Linked DNA regions of Arabidopsis thaliana. The protein of the gene in region 1 interacts with the protein of each later gene in a pairwise test. Each region holds a gene or a part of one and is shown in the gene's direction. Other genes may lie near its edges. The genes, in order: AT-HSFB2B and EMB1135.

Region 1 (12,596 bases):
AATAATTGTTATGACATTCACTTTAAAACTAAAAATTGATAAATGTTATGGGGGTCAAGTGACCCCCTTGTCAATACACCACTGCCACTGATATGTGATATTTGCTCGATTCTCCTGGAGTTAATTGTTAGGAAATCATGGATGAAACCCATTAAGATATCACATAGGCTTCATCCAAGATTTCCAAACAACACATGTGTAAAACCCATTGCCTAAATATTTTGACGGTGGAGTTGATTGCGAAAGAAGCGGTTCAAGAATTTGAGTAGATCATGGAATTGAAAAAGGGTGAAAAAACTTCTGACACCAATGGTTCAGACAAAGGGACAAGAACCGATGGAGTTGATTGAGAAAGAAGTGGTTGCACACAATATGACAAGATCATGGGTTTTACAAATGGGGTAAAAGAAACTTCTCACGCCAATGGGTCATATAAGGGAGAAGAGGAACTAAAGAGGACATGGATGGGGTAAAATATTGTTGAAGCCGAGGAGAGTGTCCAAACCAACCTGGCAAAAAGACATTGGAATAGAGCATGATTGATAATATCTACCTTACGGCCATACCTTGAGGTTTGAACTAATTTAGCTTTGAATATATTGTAAAATAAGATTCTTTTAACAATTATCCCCAACAAACGATCAACAAGCTATAATTACAAAGAGATCCAATGGTTTATCTTGTTGAGTACTAATAGAGTTACAGTGAATTCGATATGTTTTAGGTCCTGAATGTTTTGTAGTTTTTTATTGGCTTTTAGTTTTTGGTTTTTGGATTTTGGATTTTGGTTTTTGATATTTGTAGTTTTTGATTTTGTTGTAGATTTTAATTTTTGCAAAATCATGAATGGAATTTTGTTTAATTTTTAGTTTTTACGTAAATTGTTTAAAAAACTCACAAAACTTGGTTTTTAGATTTTATAAAGAAATAGCTAAAAACTCTTAAAATCTGGTTTTCCTATTTTTTAGAAAATCTACTTTTTGTAGAATCATGAATGGGTATTTATTTGGTTTTTAAAAAATCACAATCCAAAAACTACTCTAAAAACTGCAGCCATTCAAGGCTTTAATTTGTTGTCATGTTAACAAAGTTAAGTTATTGGTGAAGCAATGTCGTTTTTTATGCGACAATATTCTTAGAGTTTCACAGAATTGATGACAACGAAGGAAAAATATCGTATCATCTTTAGTTTGAGTAAAAGGAAATAAAGTAACATATTTCTTAAAATTCGTTAGCGAGTAAAACGTTCCACACAAAAGCATAACTTCCACTGTTATATCGTTCTTTGTTATTACTGATAATGTATGATTTGATGGATTTGTATAACGTTTGTATCTTATGTTTTAAAGTAATCAATATATGTTAGAAACGAAAGTTACTTATTCAAAAAATTAAATTTATTCTTTTCACCTTTGACAATGAAGTCTTAATCATAATTCCCCCTAAAACAGAAAGAATAATGTGTACAAAACAAAATACTTTTATCCATCACTGTTTTGAATAACCATAATCGTGTTTTTAACGATATTTGAAGAACTTTTTCACAAAACTTCTTGAAGTATGATATTCATACTCGATGAACATAATGGTGTATATGGATTTATGTCATACAATATTAATGTGAACATTTGATTATTTGCCATGTAAATGAAATTTCTTTTGATAAATAGTTGTTAAAAAGATTAATGGGAACAAGTTATAATACTTGATAACTTTCTTAACAATTAATATCAGGTTTACATTGGTGGTATTTCCACAAAAGTTTTCAAAGATGGTACTCGTGTAGAAGAAGTAGAACGACGACATCTATTGGCAGTAGTACATGGACGCCTATATGGATTTGCTGGTGTGCGCTTATAACATGCAGCGGTAGGAAATCTTGGATCACAACCTTTACCTAAATCTAATCTAATTGGATACTCAATATATCTTTTCGCATGAATGGTACTTATAAACACGCATAATACAATCAAAATCGTCACAAACGTAACTTCTTTTGTTTTTATCATAATTTAGATTTTGGATTAGTTATATTTGGTGGAAAGATTGGAAAATCTGTTTTTTATATATAGTGCAAAACGATAAGTTATAGTTTCACTATCTTTAAAACATATCTTTGTTTGGTTCCAGTTTAGATATTTTTATTAAATATATTTAAAAAAAAACTGAATTGGTGTTACAGTTTTAGTTTCAGTTTTTTTTCTTCAATATATACATTAATTAATTTTGAAACATTTGAAAATATTGAGATTTTAACATATCATTTTTTGTTGGTTTAATTTCAATCAGTTTTTGTTTTGTCAAAAAACAATATCGGTCTCCTAATGCTAGTATTACATCTCAAAATTTTGATATGTTTAAAAATTGCAAAATTATTTTTAATATTATAAAGTGCTATTTTATAATTATTTCTAAACTTTAACATATAAAAATTGATAGATCGGATTGAATATCTCCGATATCATGATATTTTGACGGAAATCCATGTCTGGATATAGAAAATTTACAAATTTAGGTACACTTATCGTAATATTTAATGATAGTGATTTAATTTGTGTGTATTTTCACCTCAAAATTTTATCTTAGAGACTACGCGAGAAAAAATGCAAATCCACAATTAATCTTATGTAGTATTTTAGGATCGATCCTAATAAGTTATATATACTAATAAGTTACACGACGAATTCGATAAAGAAGAACAAAACTAAGGCAAAATAAAAAGTGGTTTTTGCTTGGGGGTTTTAGCAATATATATATTACTTTAAGATATGTCTCTATGTCTGAATAGTTTGTTGGCAGTATTGATATTGAATTCAATTTGGCTGCCTCACTCCAAAAATATATTGTTCTTTCGACTATTAATCATCAGCCAAAACAACATTGTCTCGATACTGTTTCTCATGATCACTAATTCACTATGTATTATATTGATCAAGATATACAAAAATATGAACTGCTGGGTATAGTTTCAATTATCCCATGTGGACTTCATTTTGCAAGAGAAATTTAGTCAACTAGAAAGAAAAATATTAGGAATTATTAGTCATACAACCATATTATAAGATTATAACGTGGAAGAAAAACTGTATAGAGTTCTAACAAACTTTCGGTGAAACTTCATGTCATCCTTAATTCAAAAGCAACCCACTAGTCAAATCTTTAATATATCTTTCAGAAAACAAGACTTCACATATATGAATCAATCTCTTCAATTATTTTTGGAACACTCGAATATATTTGATGAAAGAGCTTAAAGATCACGTTGTAGTGATCACTTATGGACCATCATCGGAGGCTTCAGTAACGGCGTCACCTGTCTCTCAACAGACGCCGTCTTTGTTTGCATACTCCGTAACGCCGTCAGCATCAAGATTCAGCTCACGGCGAGCATCGGTTCATGTTATCGGTTTGGTTCTCCGGTTTATAACTATGGTTCTATGTTTCGTCTCTGCTCTTTCGTTGGCAGTGAATGTTCAACGGCCTTCGAAGAGACATCTGACACAAAACTCCTCGAGTTTTGCTTCATATCCTGAACTGTTGTAAGAAACTAAAGAACCTTATCTTCTTTAATTCATTGTTTAATACTAATATTTTATATAGAATATGATGTTGTTATTTCCAAGCAAATCTGGATTATCGTTGTTCACTTACTAAAATAATAAGGGATACTTGAAAAAAAAAAGTCTAAAAAATAAAATGAAAAGATTGGCTGATTTCTGTTAAATTAAAGATATATGAACCGAAAATTGTAATGGAAATGAATTAAATTGGGATTTTTGATAAATTAAATTAAAGTATTAATTATCTTTAATATGCATGGAAATGAATATTTTGATAGTTTATATATGAACCGAAAATATTGTGTAGGCGTGTTAAAAATAAATATCCATTAACAAAATCATCCAAAAATTTTCAACATTTTTTTCTCTCTATGCTAATTGGTACGTTAAGATATATGCAGGTATTGTTTTGGAGTTGCAGTGATAGGATTCGTGTATACAAGTTTGCAAACATTCAAAGGAGTTTGTGATATTACTCACAGAGGAGTTTTAATCTCTGAGCCTCTCTCGGATTACATCAGCTTCATATTTGACCAGGTATTTTACATTATTATTGATTAATTTCTATACGTTGAGTACATATATAATAGAATGTGTTAACAATTAACATATAAAAAAAATTGAGCTAATTTTATTTTTGTATACAAAACCTAATCAGGTTATATGTTACCTACTAGTGTCATCTTCTTCCGTGGCAATTGCATGGATCCAACATATAAACGAGGATGCGATAAAAACACTAAGAAACAATTCTATAGTTTCAGTTTCAATGTCATTCTCTGCATTTTTGGTTTTGACACTCTCTGGCCTCTTGTCAGGGTATAAGCTTTGCAAGAGATTTATGTGGTAATTAAATCTTGTAATTTTTTTATACTCAAGTCATGTTTAAATCCGTAAGAAGTAATGACTATTTATGTTTATGTGGATATATTTGTTTGTTGGAATGTAAAATTTATACAACATTTATTTGTTTTATCGCCAACGTTTTAGAATTTGAAAGAATAACCGAATTTTTTTTAGAGAAATATAAGATAACCACCACCATGTGTCAATGTTGCAGTAATCAAATGATAATTTGTACATGCATGACCATTGTACCAAACAAACTTAATCAAGTGTAAACTAGTTTTCCTCGTATAGTTTCCAAAAGTACTATCATTAACTGGTAAAAGGGTTCTTCAGATGTGACAAAAACTATTTTCTATATTAAAAGGAAGTTGCAAGTGTTTCACTTACAAAGTAGATGAAGTGTCATTAAAATAGTGATGGGTCAATGAATGAATTAAGGTCTTATTATCATATTTATCATATTTGGTCATAAGAATGAAGAATTTTAAAACCTAGTTAAAATTCTTAAGCATTTTGATGCGTTTTTATCGGAGGTGACCAGACCAACCAATAAAGTTTATCAAAATAAAAAAAATAATGAAAACATGCATATTTTAATTATGTTCGTATTCACTTTTTTTTATTTTTGGTATTCACTTTCATTGTATTTATAAAGCAGATTCTAAAACTGAACTTAGAGAAGAGAAAGTTGTTGTAATACAATCTTGTAGTGACAAGAGAAATTTGGGTGTTTCTTTCTGCAATGTATAATGATATGTTTGACGATAAAACATTATACCGCCCGGAAATTCTGTAATCGCAATAGTAAAACTGGATTTCTTCCCCTCCCACCTGGAAATGATGTATATCCTAACTACTATAACTGGATTTAATTTTCCAGAAAACGATTATATAAATGGATTTATATAAATTATTTTTGATAATTTAAATGCTCACATAAAAATAATATATTTTTTTTGTCATTTCTTGCAAATAGTTTAAGACATTTAGATTTTTTTTTTTTAAAGATTACCGAAAGTTATACATGTTAAGTATACAATTCAAATTCATGACTTTCGACTATGAAAATACATCATAAATCGATTGTTTTACGTTTTCTGGATTTTTTTTTGGGTTTCTTGGCAAAGTAGACACTTTTTCATAAATAATTTGTAAAGTGGATAGTTTTTTTTAGAAATTAGAGAGATAGACACTTTTTTGTTTTTTGTGAGATAGAGGATATGTCTAATAGATTAAAAAAACAAAATACATATCAAATACTAAAATACCCTTTATCTTGAGAGCTAATAAAAATAATATGAGAGACCATTTGTACTTTATTTTGTTTGTCTTTATTTTTTTTATTTTTTTATTTTAGTTTTCTTAAAATATTTTTTTAAATAATAAATTCTTTTTAAAAAACATTACATTAACTTTTAGAGTAATTATATGTCATCAATCCAATGCACAAACATTTCAAACATAGTTTTGTACACTAACCATTATTCGTTGGTGTACAAATGTGTATACTGATATTTCATAAATCATTAAGTACACCGACTTCTCTTATAAACATAATGATTGTATAAACCTTATATGATTACTCAATATAATAGTGTACATGATGGTGTACATAATTAAAGTATTTTTGATGATGTACAAAATGATTGAAACTATTATGACGATTGATGGATAGAATGATGTATACAACTTTTAAATGATAGCATACAAGATTATTAGACAAAGTGTACAAAACTTGGTGTACACTTCTAGGAAATGTATAAATCATTATTTCAATTAGTGGTGTATATCTCGTACACCAATGTTAGTACACTGTCTCATAGATCTTTAAAGCTGTACGATCATGTACACCATATTTTCCATCATCTCTTTACACTATTTTGTACACAATTATACTGAGTCTATCACTTCTCAGTATTATATGTTAATTTTTACATTATTGTCGTACACTAACATTTGTACACCAGTTTTAACAATATCACATACACCGTCGGCTGGGATTAAATAAAAAAGTGTTACATATTTTTGAAATATAGCAAAATTAGACTTTTTAGATTCACATAAAAATTTTAAAAGTTAATATGATTATGTGGTAATTTTTTATGAAAAATTATTATCAAACAAAGTAAAAATATTTAAATAAAAAAAAAAAGAGAAAAAGTAGAATTTGATTTGAGTTTTGTCTATATTTTACTACCTAACAAATAACAAAAGGTTATATAAGTATTTTTACTAAAATTTTTATTAGACAAAAAATTGTATTAGAAAGGAAAAAAAAAATTATCTATTTCTTCTTTTTCTAAAAAAACTACATATTTTGCAATTTATTTATATAAAAAGAATACATTTTCCAACTTATCTCTTTTTTTTAAAAAGTTTTTTTATCATAAAAACTTTATATTTAAAATCTGGATAATGACACTATTACTACAATTTTGCTAAGATATTTGTTTCCTTTTTACGATGATTACAATTAGACTATAATATTGGATAAACGAATCTCAAATATTGAATTCATAATTAATGTTGAACATAAAACATAAGAAAAGTAATTAAAAAAAGAGTCAACTCAGAATAATCAATTCGAGTCTATCACTTTATTCCACTCACATTAATTACCAAAAATGTTATGAAAATCTAGATAGCGTTTCACATATTCACAGGGTCAAAAAAGGAAATAACAAAAAGAAGAAAAAAGAGAAACTTCTGGAAAAAGAAAAGGAAGCCACATACGCTCTTCTAGCGCATTCCTATACTCTTTCCTTCTTTGTGGTCCCCTTTTCACTTTTTTAAATTCCAACTTTACCCTTGTTCTTCTTCTTCGTTCTCTTTTTTTTATTTTTGTTTTTGTTGTTGTCTTCTGGAACTTCCGATCTGTCTCTCCTCTTCTCTCTCTTTCTTATCAATACGTTCCTCTCAGAACATTCTGGAACTTCACAACATAATCTCTCTCTCTCTCTATCTCTAGCTTCGTGATCATCGTGTGTCTCTGTGTTCAATCTGGATTGTGACAATCTCTTTCTTTCTTGGTTGGTGTAGATTACGTCAAGAGAGAGATAGAGAAGTTTTTGGATTTGGTTCTAATGGGTCTGTGATAGACGTTTCCTTTCTCTTCTCTGTCTAGTTTCTGTTTTGAGATCTCTATGTTTCCAACTTTCTTCAAAGCTCATTCCCATTGGTAGATTTCATCATTATCTTAATTTGGGTATTGGGATTAAGGAAAGTTTAGATTTTTGATCTATAACTCATGCCGGGGGAACAAACCGGAGAAACTCCGACGGTGGCCGGAGTTGGCGGCGGTGGAGCTGGTTGTAGCGCCGGGAATAGTGGTGGAAGTAGTGGATGTGGTGCTGGTGGTGGCGGTGGTGGTAGTGGTGGAGGTGGTGGCGGAGGAGGAGATTCACAGAGGTCAATTCCGACGCCGTTTTTGACGAAAACGTATCAGCTTGTGGAAGATCCGGTTTACGACGAATTGATCTCGTGGAACGAAGATGGAACCACTTTTATTGTGTGGCGACCAGCTGAATTCGCTAGAGATCTTCTTCCCAAATACTTCAAACATAATAACTTCTCGAGTTTTGTTCGTCAGCTCAATACTTACGTGAGTCTCAATATACGTTTGAATCGAAATTTTCAGTTATTAGGTTTTTTAGTAGTGAGCTCTTATTTTGGTTTATTATTGGTTTTAGGGATTTCGAAAAGTAGTTCCAGATCGTTGGGAGTTTTCTAATGATTGTTTTAAGAGAGGTGAGAAGATTCTGCTTCGGGATATTCAACGGCGGAAAATCTCTCAGCCTGCTATGGCCGCGGCTGCTGCAGCGGCGGCGGCAGCCGTAGCGGCTTCGGCTGTTACAGTAGCAGCTGTTCCTGTTGTAGCTCATATTGTTTCTCCATCGAACTCTGGAGAAGAACAGGTTATATCGTCTAATTCTTCGCCTGCGGCTGCTGCTGCTGCTATAGGAGGAGTGGTTGGTGGTGGTTCTTTGCAGAGGACAACGAGCTGCACCACTGCACCAGAGCTGGTTGAGGAGAATGAGCGATTGAGGAAAGATAATGAGCGATTGAGGAAAGAGATGACAAAGCTTAAAGGATTGTATGCGAATATCTACACATTAATGGCGAATTTCACACCGGGTCAAGAAGATTGTGCGCATTTGTTACCTGAAGGGAAACCTTTAGATCTTTTACCGGAGAGACAAGAGATGAGTGAAGCCATTATGGCTTCTGAAATAGAGACAGGGATTGGTCTGAAACTTGGTGAGGATTTGACTCCAAGGTTGTTTGGGGTTTCTATTGGGGTCAAGCGAGCTAGAAGAGAAGAAGAATTGGGTGCTGCAGAGGAAGAAGATGATGATAGACGAGAAGCTGCTGCCCAAGAGGGAGAACAAAGTTCTGATGTTAAGGCAGAGCCAATGGAGGAGAATAACTCCGGTAACCATAATGGGTCGTGGCTTGAACTCGGAAAATGAAAAACACTTGCCGATTCAGAGGCATTGTTGAATATGCAAGAAACTGTTACTGATCCCCATTGCATAGGCAAGCCATTGCGCTGTCCCGGACGGAAAATGGGGATGTGTTCGGTCATAAGAGGACAGATGTTCATTGAGTTGGGGTAGTACAAAAGTATCTAAAAACACTGATTCTACCATCCTGAGTTGTTCCTGATTTCAGATGTTGCCTCCTGAATCTTCTTCTTGATGGAACTGAAACTATTCTGGCTTGCTGTGCTCCAGTGAGTGGATGTGCTTCTCACGATTTCGGATAAAGCAGGCAGATTCAATGTTACATCTTCATATTCTGCAACAAATAGCAGGAATCAATGGTTTTTAAGAGTTATGGCAATGTTGATACAGAATCATTTCTTTTGAGTTCAAAACAATTGTAGCTCTCTGACTTGTAATGATCTTAATGAAATTTATCTCTCTTATTTAAAGATGGTCCAAGTTCTCTAGTGGTCGTGTGTGTGTTTTTACCTGTTGACATAGGAAGCTCGTACTGGCGCTTTAAGAATTTGGAGGCGTTACGATCTTTCTTGTGGCAAAGAACTCTAACAAGAGTTTGTGCATCCTCCAAGCGCCGCTGCTCTGAACTCACCCCCATGTTGATGAGCTCGCTCGCAGTCATTAGCATCTGAATTAGCATATCGCTCTGCCACAACGGACATAATCCGTAACACTTTGGTATCTCATAATTTCTAAGAAAGGAACTAAGTTTGCAATTTGCAAGTGAGCAAAATATATTTACCTCGAGAGAGTACAAGTCGAGGATCTCTTTCGCCTGTTTCGCTTCTTGCTCAACTAGTGAACGAGGAAGTCCCTCCCCATCGGCAATGAAGAACTCCTACAAGGGGACACACGCCGTAGGTTAAGTACACAGATTGGAACTGCCTAATCCACGGATCAAGACCCGGTTCTCATATGCAAAATGGCCGAACCTCAAAATCAAAGTAGAAAATCTAGTTTCTAGTATTTTTTAATATTGTCTTTATCTGAAACTAATTGGATGCAGGGAGTATACAAGATGATAGAGCTCGAAAACTTTGGTTTCCAGTAGAATAAGTACGGAATTTCAAAATAAGAATATAAGTTGCTTACTTTCAAAATACTGAGATCTTCTTCCATCAAGGTGATGTCAGAATCCGAAAAGGCACGGGTTGGCCCTCCATCAAGTAGTACTCGAACATAGGCTTCCTATGGGAGAGAAGCATGCCATTTTTGTGGGCATAAAAGAGGTTAGAGTTAGTTAACTTGTTTCCATATGCAAAAGAGAAAAGAAGTGTTACCAGAGCGGATCGGCAGATGCTTAACACCACCATATCCCGTGAGTCCTCATAACTCAAACTGCATACAGTATCAAGGACCTGTGCATTGCATTTCCTAGTGTAAGTTCATGCTTAGTAGAACGGGGTGAATAAAAGAAAGAGATGATTTTGGTTTACTGAATCAATGTGAGGGAGTATTCTTTCCAAGCGGGCGCCTTCGACTGTGCCATTGTACAACTGTATAAGGAACATGTCTCTCAGATCCCAGAAAATCGCTCTTGCCCCTGACAAAAAGCAACAATAAATACAGAAACCAGAGCTAAACCGACTTCTTTGTCGTTGATAACACAAAAGTCTTAAAGAGTAACACAATCCATCCAACATTCTCACTCATCCATGAGGATCAACCAATAAAAGAGGAATGCGTACTTTTGCCAAAGAACTGAAACATGATTAATATGTATGGCTTATTCACGAGTATCTCAGATAACGACAGAAAATTTGATAATGCATCTTATGTAAGTCTTCAAATAGTATTAAAATGCTAAAGCCATCTAGTTTGTGGATAAGAAGATTGTGCATTCAGAAAGTTTGAATCTTGACACTTATCAAGGTTGCAGGGAACTGGTTCAAGTTTGGACAGAGTTTTCAGCTTTTCTCAAATTTAAAGTGCTGCATAACACGAGAATTTGTATTAGCTTACCAATTAGGTCACGGGTTTTGGTTATGCAATTGGCATTGGTGTCCCTGAGGCTGTCATAGGTGGTAGCAAAGAGTTCATCAACAGCTTCACTATGCGTCAGTGAATTCTCCACTTCAGCTTCATCAGTCTCGATTTCTGAAGCAAAAAAATCATGCAAAATGAATCCGCCAATGCACATTTCAACACTAGACAACCATCAAAATTAAGAGAAAAACGTATAATCCAAAGTGAATGAGCGTACCTGATCTCTTGTTGAGAGAGGCTTCAACAAGTGTCAAAGATTTCCTTATGCCTACTTCTGTTGCACTGATTTGTTTCTGGATATACTGATCCATGAACACAAAAATACATTAAAAATAAAGAAGCTATTGTTTAGTTTTAATAGGAATTTATGAAGGTTTAGCTTGGAAGAACACACTTACACAGAGTGTATTCAATATTATGCAGAGTTTTGGTATCGTCAGTTCATCCAGTTTCTTAACTATTTTATTATCTGGCTCACTAAACTCGAGTGACTTCCTCTTCATTACTGGCATTACATTTTCTGTGAATCGAGTTAAAGGAGGAGCTGACGGATACAGAAACTTCTTGTCAACTGCAGATAGAGGCTAATTGTCAATATATCACAGTATGCTTCTGAAAAGTTGCTTAATTTAACACATGTATTCAAAATGTTTTCGTATCGCCTTTGGATTTGGACAAGAGATTCTATATACACTAATACTATAATCTTAATCTCACGGAAGTCCCATACAAAGAAACACAACAATAAATCATGCATGTTGCATGTAATCTACCAGACACATATAAGCCTGCTCAAGCATGTGTCTCTAGATATTGACATAAGAGAAAATAATTTTATATAGCATGTTCCATGGTTATGCAAGAACTTGACTCTGTAACAACTGTTAGAAAGATGTAGGGTTGGTCAATACCTAGTTGATCGAAAACTCTCTGAAGATAAGTATCCAAGCTATGGTAAATTAATGAGAGAAGAGCTTGGAGATGTGTGATATCAACAGGTAGATGTAAACCAAACAGCTGAGACACAGTCTGCAGAGTACGTGAAATGAGATAGTAAGACGGCAAATATATTGTGTGCAGCACTAAAAAGTAAAGGTAGGACGAATCATACTAGAAGTAAAGCAAGAACGTAAACAAAAACAACAAGTAAATCAAGAGGTAACACAAAGCAAAGAAAATTGTTTTAGCATACTGAACTCCCACAGTTTGCACACTATTCAGAATAATCATGTCATGAAAGTATGTAGGTCTACATACCTCTTCTATGATCCTGAATATTTCAACGATTGATGCAGCATGTCTTTGTTGAACTGATAGAGGCTCCCACTCCTGTTCATGGAAAAGCTTTACGATTAAAAAAAAAAATTCCATCTTTTGGACATTCATACTTTGGATTTGATTGATTATGGAAAGTGATGGAAGGTCTGTATATGTTAAATATTTCTGACTTCACGGATCCTTCATTTCATTCAGTCTATATTATCACTTCAAACTATATATGATGCAACTTTTGTTTGCTTCAAACATTTTCTCAATACAGTGATCCATCAAAATAGTTTCCCTTATGGCCAAACTTTAATGTCTATCTACTGTCGACAGAAATCAACATGTGAATGTTTTGCCAAGAATATATAACCTCGATTTCAAAAGCTCGCCTAGTCCATTGTAAGATATGATCATGTTGAGAGATAAGCCAGTC
Region 2 (12,720 bases), on another chromosome or scaffold:
GATTAATTTATTTTCTTAAATTCGTGGATATTTTAGATACTATTACCATCAGTCTTGTATATATATATATAGAGAAAGCGATGATGATAAAAGTATAAAACTATTGACTCCAAAAAGAGAAAAAATTTTTAAAAAATGAATTAGATGTTTTCATCCTTACCCACAAACGATTCATAGTAACGTCAGGCTCATTATCCACAGAATAATCACACCAATGTCATCACTATCTAAATTAGAAAATGTAATATCAAACAAAATTGGGGAATCGAAATTGGTTAAATTAACAGAATTTGCACTGGTCTGATTATTTATACTCTGATTATTAATATAACACAGAAAAGCATTACTCTTTTTCTTACACGCGTTTATGTTTTCAAAAAGAAATATTTATCCGATTACAACAATTATATGGAGTCATAACACTGTAAACAATTTGTACACCACATTTTTAGAAAATAAAAATTTAACTTGATTACAACGTGGAAAAGTCAACACTTTCCGAGCTTTCCTTTTATAAAAGGAGGACGGAAGACTCGCCGTCTCAAATGCTTCCACAAAACAAAACAAAACAAACAAGAAATCCCAACAAACAAACAAACAAAAAAAGAGAGAAAAAGAAAAAAGAGAGGTGAAAACTCGTGCAACATGGCAGAACCAACTCAGCCGCTTCTGACCGATTCCAACTCGTCATCACCGAGATCTCTCGACGACACAATCGAGAGTTACATTGGAAGCTTTGGGTGGGCTCAGTTTCTTCAAGCGGCTTTAGTCTCATTCTCCGGTGTTTTCGACGCTCAACAAACTTTCATCTCTGTGTTTACAGACTCCGAACCCACGTGGCACTGCACCGACTCGAACTCGATCTGCCATGAATCCATCTCCAACATCTGTATCCTCCCCAAAACCGCATGGTCTTGGGATTACTCTCCTCACGTCTCTGTTATATCCGAATGGGGTCTCCAATGCGCCGGCTCTTTCGTCAAGGGCTTACCGGAGAGTTCTTTCTTCGTCGGATGTTTAATCGGAGGTTTGGTTCTCTCAACACTTGCTGATTCTTCCTTGGGTCGTAAAAACATGTTGTTTCTGTCCTGTCTCGTTATGGCGATATCAACGATGCTAACGGTTTTCTCACCAAACATTTGGGTTTACGCTGTTCTTCGATTCGTTAATGGATTTGGTCGAGCGACGATAGGGACATGTGCGCTCGTTCTTTCGACGGAATTAGTTGGGAAGAAATGGCGAGGACGAGTAGGGATAATGAGTTTCTTCGGATTCATGCTTGGCTTTTTGTCTCTTCCTTTGATGGCTTACATGAACAGAGGAAGTTCTTGGAGGATTCTCTACGCATGGACTTCGATTCCAACGATAATATACTGCGTTCTTGTTCGGTTTTTCGTTTGTGAGTCTCCAAGGTGGCTTTTCGTTAGAGGCCGTAGAGAAGAAGCTATTTCGATTCTCAAAAGGGTTGCTTCGATTCCGTCTACTGATGTAAGCAGTGGTGGTGCAATATCTATGAGTTTTTCGAGCTTACCTTTTGAAGAAGATGAAGAGAAGCCTAGTACTAATGTTAACATCTTCACGACCATGAAGGTGTTGGTAGAGAAAAGATGGGCGCTTAAGAGATTATCCGCGGTAATGGCCATTGCGTTCGGGATTGGTTTGGTCTATTACGGGATGCCTTTAGCGTTATCGAATCTTGATTTCAACATCTATTTAAGTGCAGCGTTTAATGCGTTGATGGATTTACCAGCGAACCTCATCACGCTTTTCCTAGTCGATAAACTCAGTAGGAGAAACGCGCTTATCGGATTTACGGCTTTAGGTGGAGTCTCTAGCGTTCTCATATTTGCGTTACATAATATGAGAATTGGAAACCACGGGGCGTTACAGTTGGCGTTAGAGCTAATCTCTTACTTTAGCGCGTGTTCGGCTTTTAACATGGAGATGATATACACGATCGAGCTGTTTCCGACATGTGTGAGAAACTCGGCTATCGCAATGGCTAGACAGGCTTTGGTGCTTGGTGGAGTTTTCAGCCCTATTATGGTAGCAGCTGGTCGGAAAAACGCGTTCTGGTCGTTCGGATTGTTTGGTCTTGCTATAGGTTTGTTGGGATTGTTTGCAGTTGGATTGCCAGAGACTAGAGGGAGTGATCTATGTGACACTATGGACGAGGAAGAGTGCAAAGACCGGCGGAGTAAAGTCGCCGTTAATAATGTCATTGCATGAAATGGTGAAGAATTTGAAAACACATGTGAAATTAATGTAGATTTAATTTAGTATTTATCACTTGATTACATTAAGACTTACCACATATCTTTTTTTTTGGTTAGTTGAAAAGTGTTTCTAAGAATGAGCCATCAAAGCACCACTCTGATGAAACAATCTCATTTTACAGTTTACACCTATAACACATGGATTTCTTGAATAACAAAATAATTCAAATTTGTCTCGTTTGGATATTGATGCCGATGGTTAAACGTTTGGCTGTTTGATTTTTGTTAGAGATAATTGTGTTTCTGTTCTAATTTTCACACGTTGTGTGAAAATGAATCGTTCCAATCCCAAGAAAGTATATTCATTGGGGTTGTTGGTAGTTGGCTGTTTGGTAATTGAATGGGAAGAACAAACCAGACAGAAATTTGTACACTTCTTGGTAGATATGTTTAAAAGGTTTAATTTACAAATAGGCCCATCTATCAGCCCTTTTGTAACCCTTTTAGGCCCAACTAAGTGGTCTCAAAGTTCACAAACCCAAAACTTATGTGGATTTATTATTTTAAGCCCACACAAACTAACGAACGGTGAGCTGGCAAGTCACGTGATGACACGTGATCCATCAACCCATCACTTACCATTACCCCAACCGGTACGGAAGTGGTTTTGTATCTTCCTACTTCGACTCCTCTTGGGTAATTATAATTAGTTTTAGATGAACCAAACAATCCCAAAATAATATTAGAAAAAGGGAAGAAAATCTGAAACCAAAAAAAACGAGAAGGGAGTCGAAGAAGAACCTTTCGCGCTCTGACGAAATTCATTACTTACACTGGATTTATACTTTTTTTGTCTTCCTCTCTCAATTATCTCCTTCAACGCCACAAGATCCTAAGGCCTCTCACGGATCTCTCTTAAGATCAATCGCCGCGGCTCATGACGCAGTCGCCTGTTCAACCGCCTCCGCCGCTCCCAGCTCAGCCGCATTCCGCCGCCGGAGGTGTAATAAGAGGCGATGTACAGGTTAGGTGCGCAGGCTGTCGCGTGATTCTGAGGGTGAAAACCGGCGTTGTGGAGTTCTCGTGTCCGACTTGTCAACTTCCCCAAATGTTGCCGCCGGAGCTTCTTTCTAGGGCACGGCCGCAGTTTCCGCAGTCTCCACAACAACCACCACAGCCAATTCAGACGCTTCCGCCACCGATTCAACAGCAGCTTAAGCCTCTTAATCTACCTAGGCCTCCGGTTCCGGCACATGGAATCGATCCGACGAAGATGCAATTGCCTTGCGCTAACTGTCAGGCTATCCTCAATGTGCCTCATGGACTCACTCGGTTCTCGTGTCCTCAGTGCCATGTCGAGCTCGCTGTTGATGTCTCCAAGCTTAATCGGTCTTTAACTGCTTCTCAATCTCATTCTAATCCTCCTACTCCTGCTGCTCCCACAGTCCCGCCTCCGCCTCCTCCCGAAGAAGTCAATGAGGAAGCTATTGAAGTGGAGAGAGAAGAAGATGAAGGTGGAACGGCTGGAGAAACGTTTATGGATTATGTGAGTGCCTCATCTTGAGATCATCTTTTTCTGTCTGTTCAATGTTTTTGATGATACTAATTTGTTTCTTTGTGAAGCGTCCCCCAAAACTTTCGATCGGACCTCCTCATCCTGATCCAATTGTGGAAACATCATCTCTATCTGCAGTGCAACCCCCAGAGCCTACTTATGATCTCAAAATCAAGGAAGAGCTTGAAAGGTCAAAGGCTTTATCGTGTTTGCAGATTGAGACATTAGTTTACGCTTGCCAGGTTGCTTTTAAATGGCAAAAAGTTTGGTTAATGGCATTTAAACGTATCTTCTACCTGTATGACAATGGTTTTTTTTTTATTACAGAGGCATCTCCAGCACCTTGCTGATGGTACCAGAGCAGGCTTTTTTGTTGGAGATGGTGCTGGTGTGGGCAAAGGGCGAACAATTGCCGGGTTGATTTGGGAAAATTGGAAACATGGAAGGAGGAAAGCTTTGTAAGTCTTGTAGAAAGATACTTCTGCGCCATTTACATCCTTGATAAGATATTGTTAGCTCAATTCAATCTGACTTATGATTATACTACATTTGCATAATTGTGTCTACGGTGTCCTTTTTTGGTTTCTTAGATAACTTAAAGTAGGATGAGTTCTAATACTATTTGCTCCTTTTCCTTTATGATTTACATAGGTGGATTTCTATTGGCTCAGACTTGAAATATGATGCAAGAAGGGACTTGGATGATGTGGGTGCTACATGCGTTGGAGGTATTATCTTGATTTTGGCTGTAAATTAAGTTTGTAATTCGCTTATTTTCTTGGGTCACAAATGCTTCATATGTTATACATAATTACATATAGCTTATGCTATAAATTATTTTCTGGCTCATTGTTGAATAGAAAATTTTGAAAGTGGATGGTATAGAGTAGACTGGATCAGAATGAGATTCTGACTTTGCTGAATGGATAAATTGACTCATGCTTTAATATTACGATGTAGAGTACACATGTATTTTTAGAGAACTTATTTTCTTTACTGATAAAGGTAATGGGTCCCTGAACTTTGTTTATGGTGTCTTCATGCCTAGAGAATGTTATGGGTAGCTGATGTTTGTGCAGTTCATGAAAATTTCAGGTAAATAAAAGTTGGACTGTAACTTTAGAATAGTCCAATAGGATATTTGATTCTTAGTCTCATTAATCCTTTATAGGTTTGAGCTTGGAATTTTAATAGAATATTAGGAGATGGAAAAATACGACAAATCAAGGGAACCATGTCGATGGATAAGTTCATTCAAGTGAACAAATGTCCAGTTTGTTTTTTCTGCAACTAAATAACAATATGTTTGACGTGCAGTGAATCCTTTGAACAAGCTACCCTATTCTAAGCTTGACTCGAAAAATGTTGGTATTAAAGAAGGAGTGGTATTCTTGACATACAATAGCCTCATTGCTTCCTCTGAGAAGGGCCGTTCTCGTTTACAGCAGCTTGTTCAATGGTGTGGACCAGAATTTGATGGTCTCTTGATCTTTGATGAGGTAACAGTTCTATGAATGAAGTATATTAAATTATTTGCGTTAAAATCATCATCCCCCTTTTTTTGTGAATTGAACAATTTGAGTATACCCTGTCGTTGTAAGTTGCTTGATCACTGGTTTTATCAATTTTGGGCCAACCTCTAATCTTTAGTACATTGTGCAGGTACTAATTTGTTTTCCTTTTTTATAGTGCCATAAAGCGAAAAATTTGGTACCTGAAGCTGGGAGTCAGCCGACACGCATCGGACAGGCAGTTGTTGACATTCAGGTCTGGCTACTTGAAACTGAATGTTCTTATCAGTGTTGCTTTTAATATTGCTCTTGGCTCTGAAGAGTGAGAGATTATATACTTCGACTTGTCTTTTTGGGTTGTACTTTTTCTCGGTTTCAGATAATATAGTGTATATTCTAGTTTAACATGCTTAATTTGTGGTTAGTGCCATCTAGTTGACTCTAACTAATGAATTCTGGAAAAGCAGGATAAGATCCCCCAAGCACGTGTTATTTATTGCTCGGCTACTGGGGCATCAGAACCACGAAACATGGGTTATATGGTCAGGCTTGGTCTTTGGGGAGCTGGAACAAGTTTTAGTGATTTTAACAAATTCCTAGGTTGGTTTTCTTTTCTACTCCTGTTGATTAATTGATTTTTTTTTTTTTGTGTGTGTGTGTAACATTTGGATTAGTACGTTCTATCTTATAGTTCGATAAACATGAATTCATTTAAGTGTCAGGTTTTAGCTTCTGTCTAGAGCATATACAAAATATTTCATTAAATGAAGTTTGACCGCATTCACTGAATTCTAATAATTACTTCGCTTCTCTTACTCTACCTTATGCATTGCATAACTTGGAATGGAACTTTAACACAACTTTGTGCAGGTGCCCTTGATAAAGGTGGGACAGGAGCGTTGGAATTGGTTGCCATGGATATGAAAGCGAGGTTTTACAAGCCGTGTCATACTATTTAGCCATTTGCATTGCTCATAATTCATTCTAACACCCCTTCTATGTAATAGGGGGATGTATGTATGCCGAACCCTGAGTTACAAAGGGGCTGAGTTTGAGATTGTTGAAGCTCGTTTAGAAGCAGGAATGGAGGTAAATCATCTTCTATCTAATATTATGTTGCTTGATTGCTTCTCATATCTTAATTGACTATCTAGCTCTATATAAATGTCGTGTAAGCTCAACAAAGTAGTATATATGAAGAGTAGGGGGTCTCTGAGGTAGCTTGAACCAAGTTCTTACATTAATTTCTGTCTGCTTTATTGGGATTAGATAATTTTCAATGGTGCTTTGATATTTTTTGGCAAGCAAGCTCATTATTTCGAGTGTTCCCCTGTTTATAGTTTAGAGATCCCTGTCGAAAAATTAAAATCAGGACTTTTGTGCTGTATTACTCGCTTTCTTCTGTAGGCAATGTACAATAAGTCTGCAGAATTTTGGGCAGAGCTACGGATAGAGTTGTTGTCAGCAAGTGCTTTTCTCCCTAACGAGAAACCAAATTCTAGTCAGTTGTGGAGATTATACTGGTCAAGCCACCAGGTATAATCTTACCACAGGCAAAAGTTAGACAATGTTATTACTGTTGCTGATTGGTCAATCTATTTCATGTCTGTTACTGCAGCGTTTCTTTAGACACCTGTGTATGTCAGCTAAAGTCCCTGTAACTGTGAGGTTAGCTAAGAAAGCCTTGTCAACAAACAAGTGTGTAGTTATTGGCCTTCAGAGTACTGGAGAGGCTCGAACCGAAGAGGCTGTAAATAAATATGTGTGTTTCTCTTCATACTACTTTTGGAAAAAATATTAAGTATCCTTTTTTGATTCCATCTAACTAATGTCTACGTATTGATAATCTTTTCCCCCTTTTTTCTTGGCATAGGGTCTTGAGCTTGATGATTTTGTCTCGGGACCTCGAGAGCTCTTGTTGAAATTTGTGGAAGAGAATTATCCCTTACCCGAGCAGCCTGAACCTCTGTCAGGTAACTTACTCTCTGTAAGAGGTTTTGCTTTTAAATCCCTGGTGGTTTTTATTTCATGTTCATAGTATGCCTCTTTTGAACTTTTACAGAGGATGATAGTGTTAAAGAACTTCAGAGGAAGAGGCATTCAGCTTCACCTGGTGTTTCAATTAGAGGGAGAGTAAGAAAGATGGCAAAGTGGAAACCAGATAGTGATAATGAAAGTGATTTGGAGTCTGAAGGTGGGTTTCCTAGTGAAAACATGTATTCTGGTACATACTGAACAGACACAATATTGATGCTTAGGCTGTAGTGAAAAATAATATGGGAAGTTTTGAATGTAGTTCTTTAAGCGCTGGAAAACGTATCTATTGAACTGGAAATCTACGTAGCAGCTAATAAGCTTATTAATTTATCCCCTATGTATTAGTATTACTATATATCTCCAATATTGGAAATTGCTTAAGGGATGACATTATCATGTTTTGGGACAAGTATTATCCTCAGATCTCTAGTCTTTGTATTTGCCCCATCTTGGTCTGTTTCTTCAATCATTCGAATTTTATAACCTCAAGGTCTGTACATTTCTAATCATTAGTGTTTTCAATGCAGCTGACTCTGCTGACGATTCTAATGATTCTGATGATGAGTTCCAGATATGTCAGATATGCAGTGGGGAAGATGTACTTTACTTTTAACTCTGATAGCTTGATTACCGTTGAGGGTTACGAGATTTTAATAACTTGTCTGGTGATGAAACTAGGAAAGGAAGAAGTTGCTCCATTGTTCTGAATGTGACAAGCTTTTTCATCCGGACTGTGTGGTTCCTCCAGTTATAGACTTACCATCTGAAGCGTGGATTTGCTTTTCTTGTAAGGAAAAGACAGAGGAGTACATTCAAGCAAGACGTCTTTACATTGCCGAATTGCAGAAAAGGTCTATACACTGAAATAGCAACTTGTGTCTGGTACAGAAGCAAAGTATTAGATTCTTTTTAAGAGTGGTTACCCATTTTGTTTCTTTTTAGGTATGAAGCAGCGCTTGAACGAAAATCAAAGATCATAGAGATCATCCGTTCTCTGAATCTTCCAAACAATCCTTTGGATGACATCGTCGATCAGGTAACTATCATTTACGTCTCTGTTTTTTCTCAGGTATGAAGCAGCTCATGGTTATACATGAGTCTCCTTTCTTTTTAGGGTATAACGCTAGTGGTATCTATGAATCATTTATTCAAGTTTTGGCATCTAGTATCCAAAGGCTAATTGTGTGGTTAAATTAACTTCTGAAAACTTTAGAATGTCTCTAAATTGCTGTGCTTTATATGTACTAATGCAGCTTGGAGGCCCTGAAAAAGTTGCAGAAATGACGGGCAGGCGAGGTATGCTTGTAAGAGCATCGAATGGGAAAGGTGTTACATATCAAGCAAGAAACACGTAAGCTTTCATTCTCAGTACTTTAACTTATTCAGCACTAGTAATCTGCTTTTCATCCTTGTGCTTCTTGGCTCTAGAAAGGATATTACCATGGAAATGGTCAACATGCACGAGAAGCAACTATTTATGGATGGTAAAAAGTTGGTTGCCATTATTTCTGAAGCTGGGTCAGCTGGTGTTTCGTTGCAAGCAGATAGAAGGGCAGTAAATCAGGTGTGTCGAGTTTATAAATTCTCCTACTAAATAAAATTGTCTTTTTTTTTTGCGTATTCTTATTGTTCTGTAGATCTAAGTTAATTGTCAGAGATGACCTCAGAGGACTTCACATGTCCGCTTTGGGGGTATTAGTTGATTTGGAATTTTTTATATATGTCTGCAGAAAAGAAGGGTTCACTTGACTTTAGAGCTTCCCTGGAGTGCTGATCGTGCAATTCAGCAATTTGGAAGAACTCACCGGTCAAATCAGACATCTGCACCTGAATATAGGTTGAATGACAACGCTTGTGTTTAATTTTGTATCCGTCCAATAGCAAAAGTATGCTGTTGAAGTTGATAGTTCTTTTGTTTTGGTCCTGTCAGACTACTCTTCACTAATCTCGGTGGGGAACGCCGCTTTGCCTCTATTGTTGCAAAGAGACTAGAAACACTTGGTGCTTTAACACAGGGAGACCGCAGGAAAGTCCCTTTCTTAACTATTTCTTAGTTAGTCTTTTGGCTTGTTATTGCTTAAAACCTTGCCATGTGTTTTGTCTCAAAATTTGGTGTGGTGTACTGCAGGGCTGGGCCCTCCGGGCCTTCTTTGAGTGCGTATAATTATGATAGTAACTTTGGTAAAAAATCCTTGATGGTGATGTATCGAGGCATAATGGAGCAGGTATTCCTCATAAAAGCCTGTAGTCTCTTAACTCCTTAATTTTGCTTCTTCAGTATTTAGGAACAATGATAACGGATAAAGTGTGAAATATAGTATGGCTTAATTGTCAGGAGAAACTACCTGTTCTTCCTCCTGGATGCTCGATTGATGAACCCGAAACAGTTAAAGAGTTTTTGACCAAGGCAAGGGCTGCTCTTGTTGCGGTTGGAATTGTTAGGGACAGTGTTCTGGGTATGCTTTGCTCGTAATTTCTCTTTTTCCGTACAGAATTCAAATTCTAGTTGTAGTAATCTCCTTTCTTACTTTACTTCATTAATGATACAGCCAATGGGAAAGATGTTGGAAGGTTTTCAGGACGTATTATTGATTCTGACATGCATGATGTTGGACGATTTTTGAATCGCCTCTTAGGATTGCCACCTGATATCCAGAATAGGTATTATGCGTCAATTGGAAATTTGCTCTATGTAACTTACCTTCCATTTTAAAAGCAACTTCCGTTTGTATTAATGCTTTCTATTCTTGTGCTGTACAGGCTGTTTGAATTGTTTACTAGTATATTAGACGTTCTTGTACATAATGCTCGGATAGAAGGAAGTTTTGACTCAGGAATTGTGGATATGAAAGCTAATAGTGTTGAGCTACTGAGCACTCCAAAGGTTGATGATATGTCTTACTTAATTATTGGTTCTTGGTGTATTTTTGCTACTAATATTTGAATTTTTCAGACCGTCCATGTTGATCAAATGTCTGGTGCCTCAACTATGCTCTTTACTTTTACTCTAGATCGTGGTGTAACATGGGAGGTACTTCAATATCTTTCACTCTTGGTAAACTTAGTCGTATTTCACTGCACTCAAAAGCTTGATTTGATCTGTGTTCCAGTCTGCGAGTTCAATGCTAGAGGGAAAGAGAAGGGACGGGCTTGGTTCAGCTAATGATGGCTTTTTTGAATCTAAAAGGGAATGGTTAGGAAGACGGCACTTCATATTAGCATTTGAGAGGTAAATCATTATCCTCACTACTCTTTGGATAATGTGGTCCTTTTATACAAACAAATATTAGAATACTAATAACACTATCAAAATCTCATTGCTGACTTTGTCTTGGATTTCCAGTGCCGCTTCTGGGTTGTTTAAGATTGTACGTCCTGCTGTAGGAGAGTCGATCAGGTATCTACTACACCATTGGCAGAACCTTTACATTTCGTATTTCTGACTAGAAAAAGTGGTCTTAACTATTGTTTATTTTTTCCAGGGAGATGTCTCTTTCAGAGTTGAAAACTAAATACCGAAAACTATCTTCTCTGGAGAAGGCTCGTACTGGTTGGGAGGACGAGTACGAAGTTTCATCAAAACAGGTATGCTTCCCCTATCAAAAATAAAGTTGAGAATACATAGAACCAAAGCAGAAAAATAGATTAGCACAGAATCATCGTGGCGTAATATAGTTTAAGCCTCACAAGAGATTCATAAGTCATAACCATTGATATAGCGCTGTTCATTAAATGAGTTTCCATCTGAGTACAGTGTATGCATGGACCCAAGTGTAAGCTTGGGGAGTATTGCACGGTTGGACGTAGGATACAGGAAGTAAACGTTGTGGGTGGCCTTATTCTTCCCATCTGGGGAACCATCGAGAAAGCTCTCTCCAAACAAGTAACAAAGACCATTCAAGAATTTGTGAGACTCTCTCTTAGTGTGTTGGCATGGAAACTTATATGTATTTGGATCTTTTGCAGGCCCGTCACAGCCACAAGAGAATTCGAGTTATACGCATAGAGACTACGACGGATAATCAGCGGATAGTGGGCCTCTCCATCCCAAATGCAGCTGTAGAAACTGTTTTACAAGGTATTGCGAGCTTATCTCATGATCTTGAGACATCATATGATAAATCCGACAAGGAAACAGAATGGTTATCTCGACAGTCGTTGATTTGTGTCTGTCTTTTTGTTTCTGCAGATTTAGCATGGGTTCAAGAGATTGATGATTAAGACAACGAGTATTTATAAGAAGCATACACCCTCAAAGCTCCACAATCAAGTTCCCATGCCTATTTTGTATTTTCTTTATTTAAGAAAAAGAGGAAAAAGACACTTGACTTTCATTTTTGTGTATATCACATGACAAATTGGCAAGATGATACATAGATGTAATATTATTTATCTAACAAGATTCATTCTTATGTTCCGTTAAAAAAAACTTTTTCTTATTGATGTGCAGAATACAGAGAGTTAACAAGAAAAGAAAAACAAAAAATAATTTCACAACCAACATAATAGATCTCAATAAAACAAGAAGAATTTTAGTGTTTCACAGAACACAACACACATAACTTGTAAATTACATAAATGCCATCAAACAGCAAAAAAAAAAAACAGGCTTATTTTTCCGACCAGAAACTTCAATCAACGTGTCGTACGTAGTAAAAAACATTCAATAAAACCTCTGTTTTCAACAGATGAAAGGAGCGTTGGCATAACCATCATGGCAATACAAACCTGGCTGCTGAGTAAACCCTTGCTTCTTCAATGCCTTCCTAGCCCTTGTAACCATTTCTCTGTTTGATATCTCACCGTCTGTCTCCTCCAATATCGTCTGTATCGAATTGCTCATCGCTCCATAAGCCTCAGTTGGTTTCCCCGCTGGAGTCGCATCAGCAGAGGTCTGATCGGTTTGGCAACCGCTGATCAGTATCCCGCTGTCTGGAAGCGGAACCGAACCTCTTGATCCACCAGCATAAACCTCTTCTTTACTCCCAACGTGTGTCTGCATAGCGGGTTTCACATAGTCTTCATCGTTTAGTTTACCCTCAAGAAACCCTGAAGCCAATTTGCCAAGCATTCCCATTAATCCACCTTCTTCTCCATTTCCAGCCTGAAGCTTACCTAAGATCACTTTCATAAACTTCTTCACTTTCGGGCTCGAATCATCACCAAACGCATCAAAAAGGCTTGGCCTGATTTTCCCAACTTCGATATTATCATTCCCTGTTTGCTGCTTGAGAATATCAATCAAGGTCTGCAGAGGAAGAGATTTGTCTTTGGCATGGATCGTTTCTCCGTCTTCAAGCTCAATCTCCTTAGTCTCGATTTCTTCCGCCTCATCTTCATCCTTCTTGTTCCCTCCAATGTGAAACCCTCGAGACTCGATGGCGCCTTCCACTTTGCTGCG

Evidence for each region.
Region 2: the proteins of AT-HSFB2B (region 1) and EMB1135 interact in a two-hybrid assay, tested with the Arabidopsis thaliana proteins (one large-scale study listed by BioGRID).

The regions. Positions count from the first base shown.
Region 1 is NC_003075.7:7,035,350-7,047,945, forward strand, and holds AT-HSFB2B (winged-helix DNA-binding transcription factor family protein), read left to right. Parts: upstream 1-7,004; 5' UTR 7,005-7,656; coding exon 7,657-8,010; intron 8,011-8,098; coding exon 8,099-8,878; 3' UTR 8,879-9,051; coding exon of another isoform or gene 9,052-9,206; 3' UTR 9,207-9,359; downstream 9,360-12,596. Other genes in the region: RALFL29 (RALF-like 29), read right to left, coding at 1,737-2,009; AT4G11655 (Uncharacterized protein family (UPF0497)), read left to right, coding at 3,241-3,539, 3,962-4,097, 4,219-4,410; AT4G11670 (DNA topoisomerase 4 subunit B (DUF810)), read right to left, coding at 9,052-9,206, 9,383-9,557, 9,654-9,749, 10,004-10,099, 10,192-10,269, 10,348-10,454, 10,874-11,008, 11,115-11,199 and 4 more. UniProt on the Arabidopsis thaliana protein: Transcriptional regulator that specifically binds DNA sequence 5'-AGAAnnTTCT-3' known as heat shock promoter elements (HSE).
Region 2 is NC_003070.9:29,843,649-29,856,368, reverse strand, and holds EMB1135 (RING/FYVE/PHD zinc finger superfamily protein), read left to right. Parts: upstream 1-2,902; 5' UTR 2,903-3,153; coding exon 3,154-3,762; intron 3,763-3,839; coding exon 3,840-4,013; intron 4,014-4,098; coding exon 4,099-4,229; intron 4,230-4,422; coding exon 4,423-4,499; intron 4,500-5,088; coding exon 5,089-5,270; intron 5,271-5,460; coding exon 5,461-5,538; intron 5,539-5,749; coding exon 5,750-5,882; intron 5,883-6,152; coding exon 6,153-6,213; intron 6,214-6,289; coding exon 6,290-6,371; intron 6,372-6,689; coding exon 6,690-6,818; intron 6,819-6,900; coding exon 6,901-7,044; intron 7,045-7,155; coding exon 7,156-7,255; intron 7,256-7,344; coding exon 7,345-7,476; intron 7,477-7,846; coding exon 7,847-7,917; intron 7,918-7,997; coding exon 7,998-8,170; intron 8,171-8,261; coding exon 8,262-8,355; intron 8,356-8,572; coding exon 8,573-8,670; intron 8,671-8,747; coding exon 8,748-8,883; intron 8,884-9,049; coding exon 9,050-9,156; intron 9,157-9,249; and 25 more. Other genes in the region: OCT2 (organic cation/carnitine transporter 2), read left to right, coding at 646-2,229; MC4 (metacaspase 4), read right to left, coding at 12,001-12,720. UniProt on the Arabidopsis thaliana protein: Required for normal embryo development. Necessary to acquire heat stress (HS) memory, by modulating nucleosome occupancy and regulating heat-induced gene expression.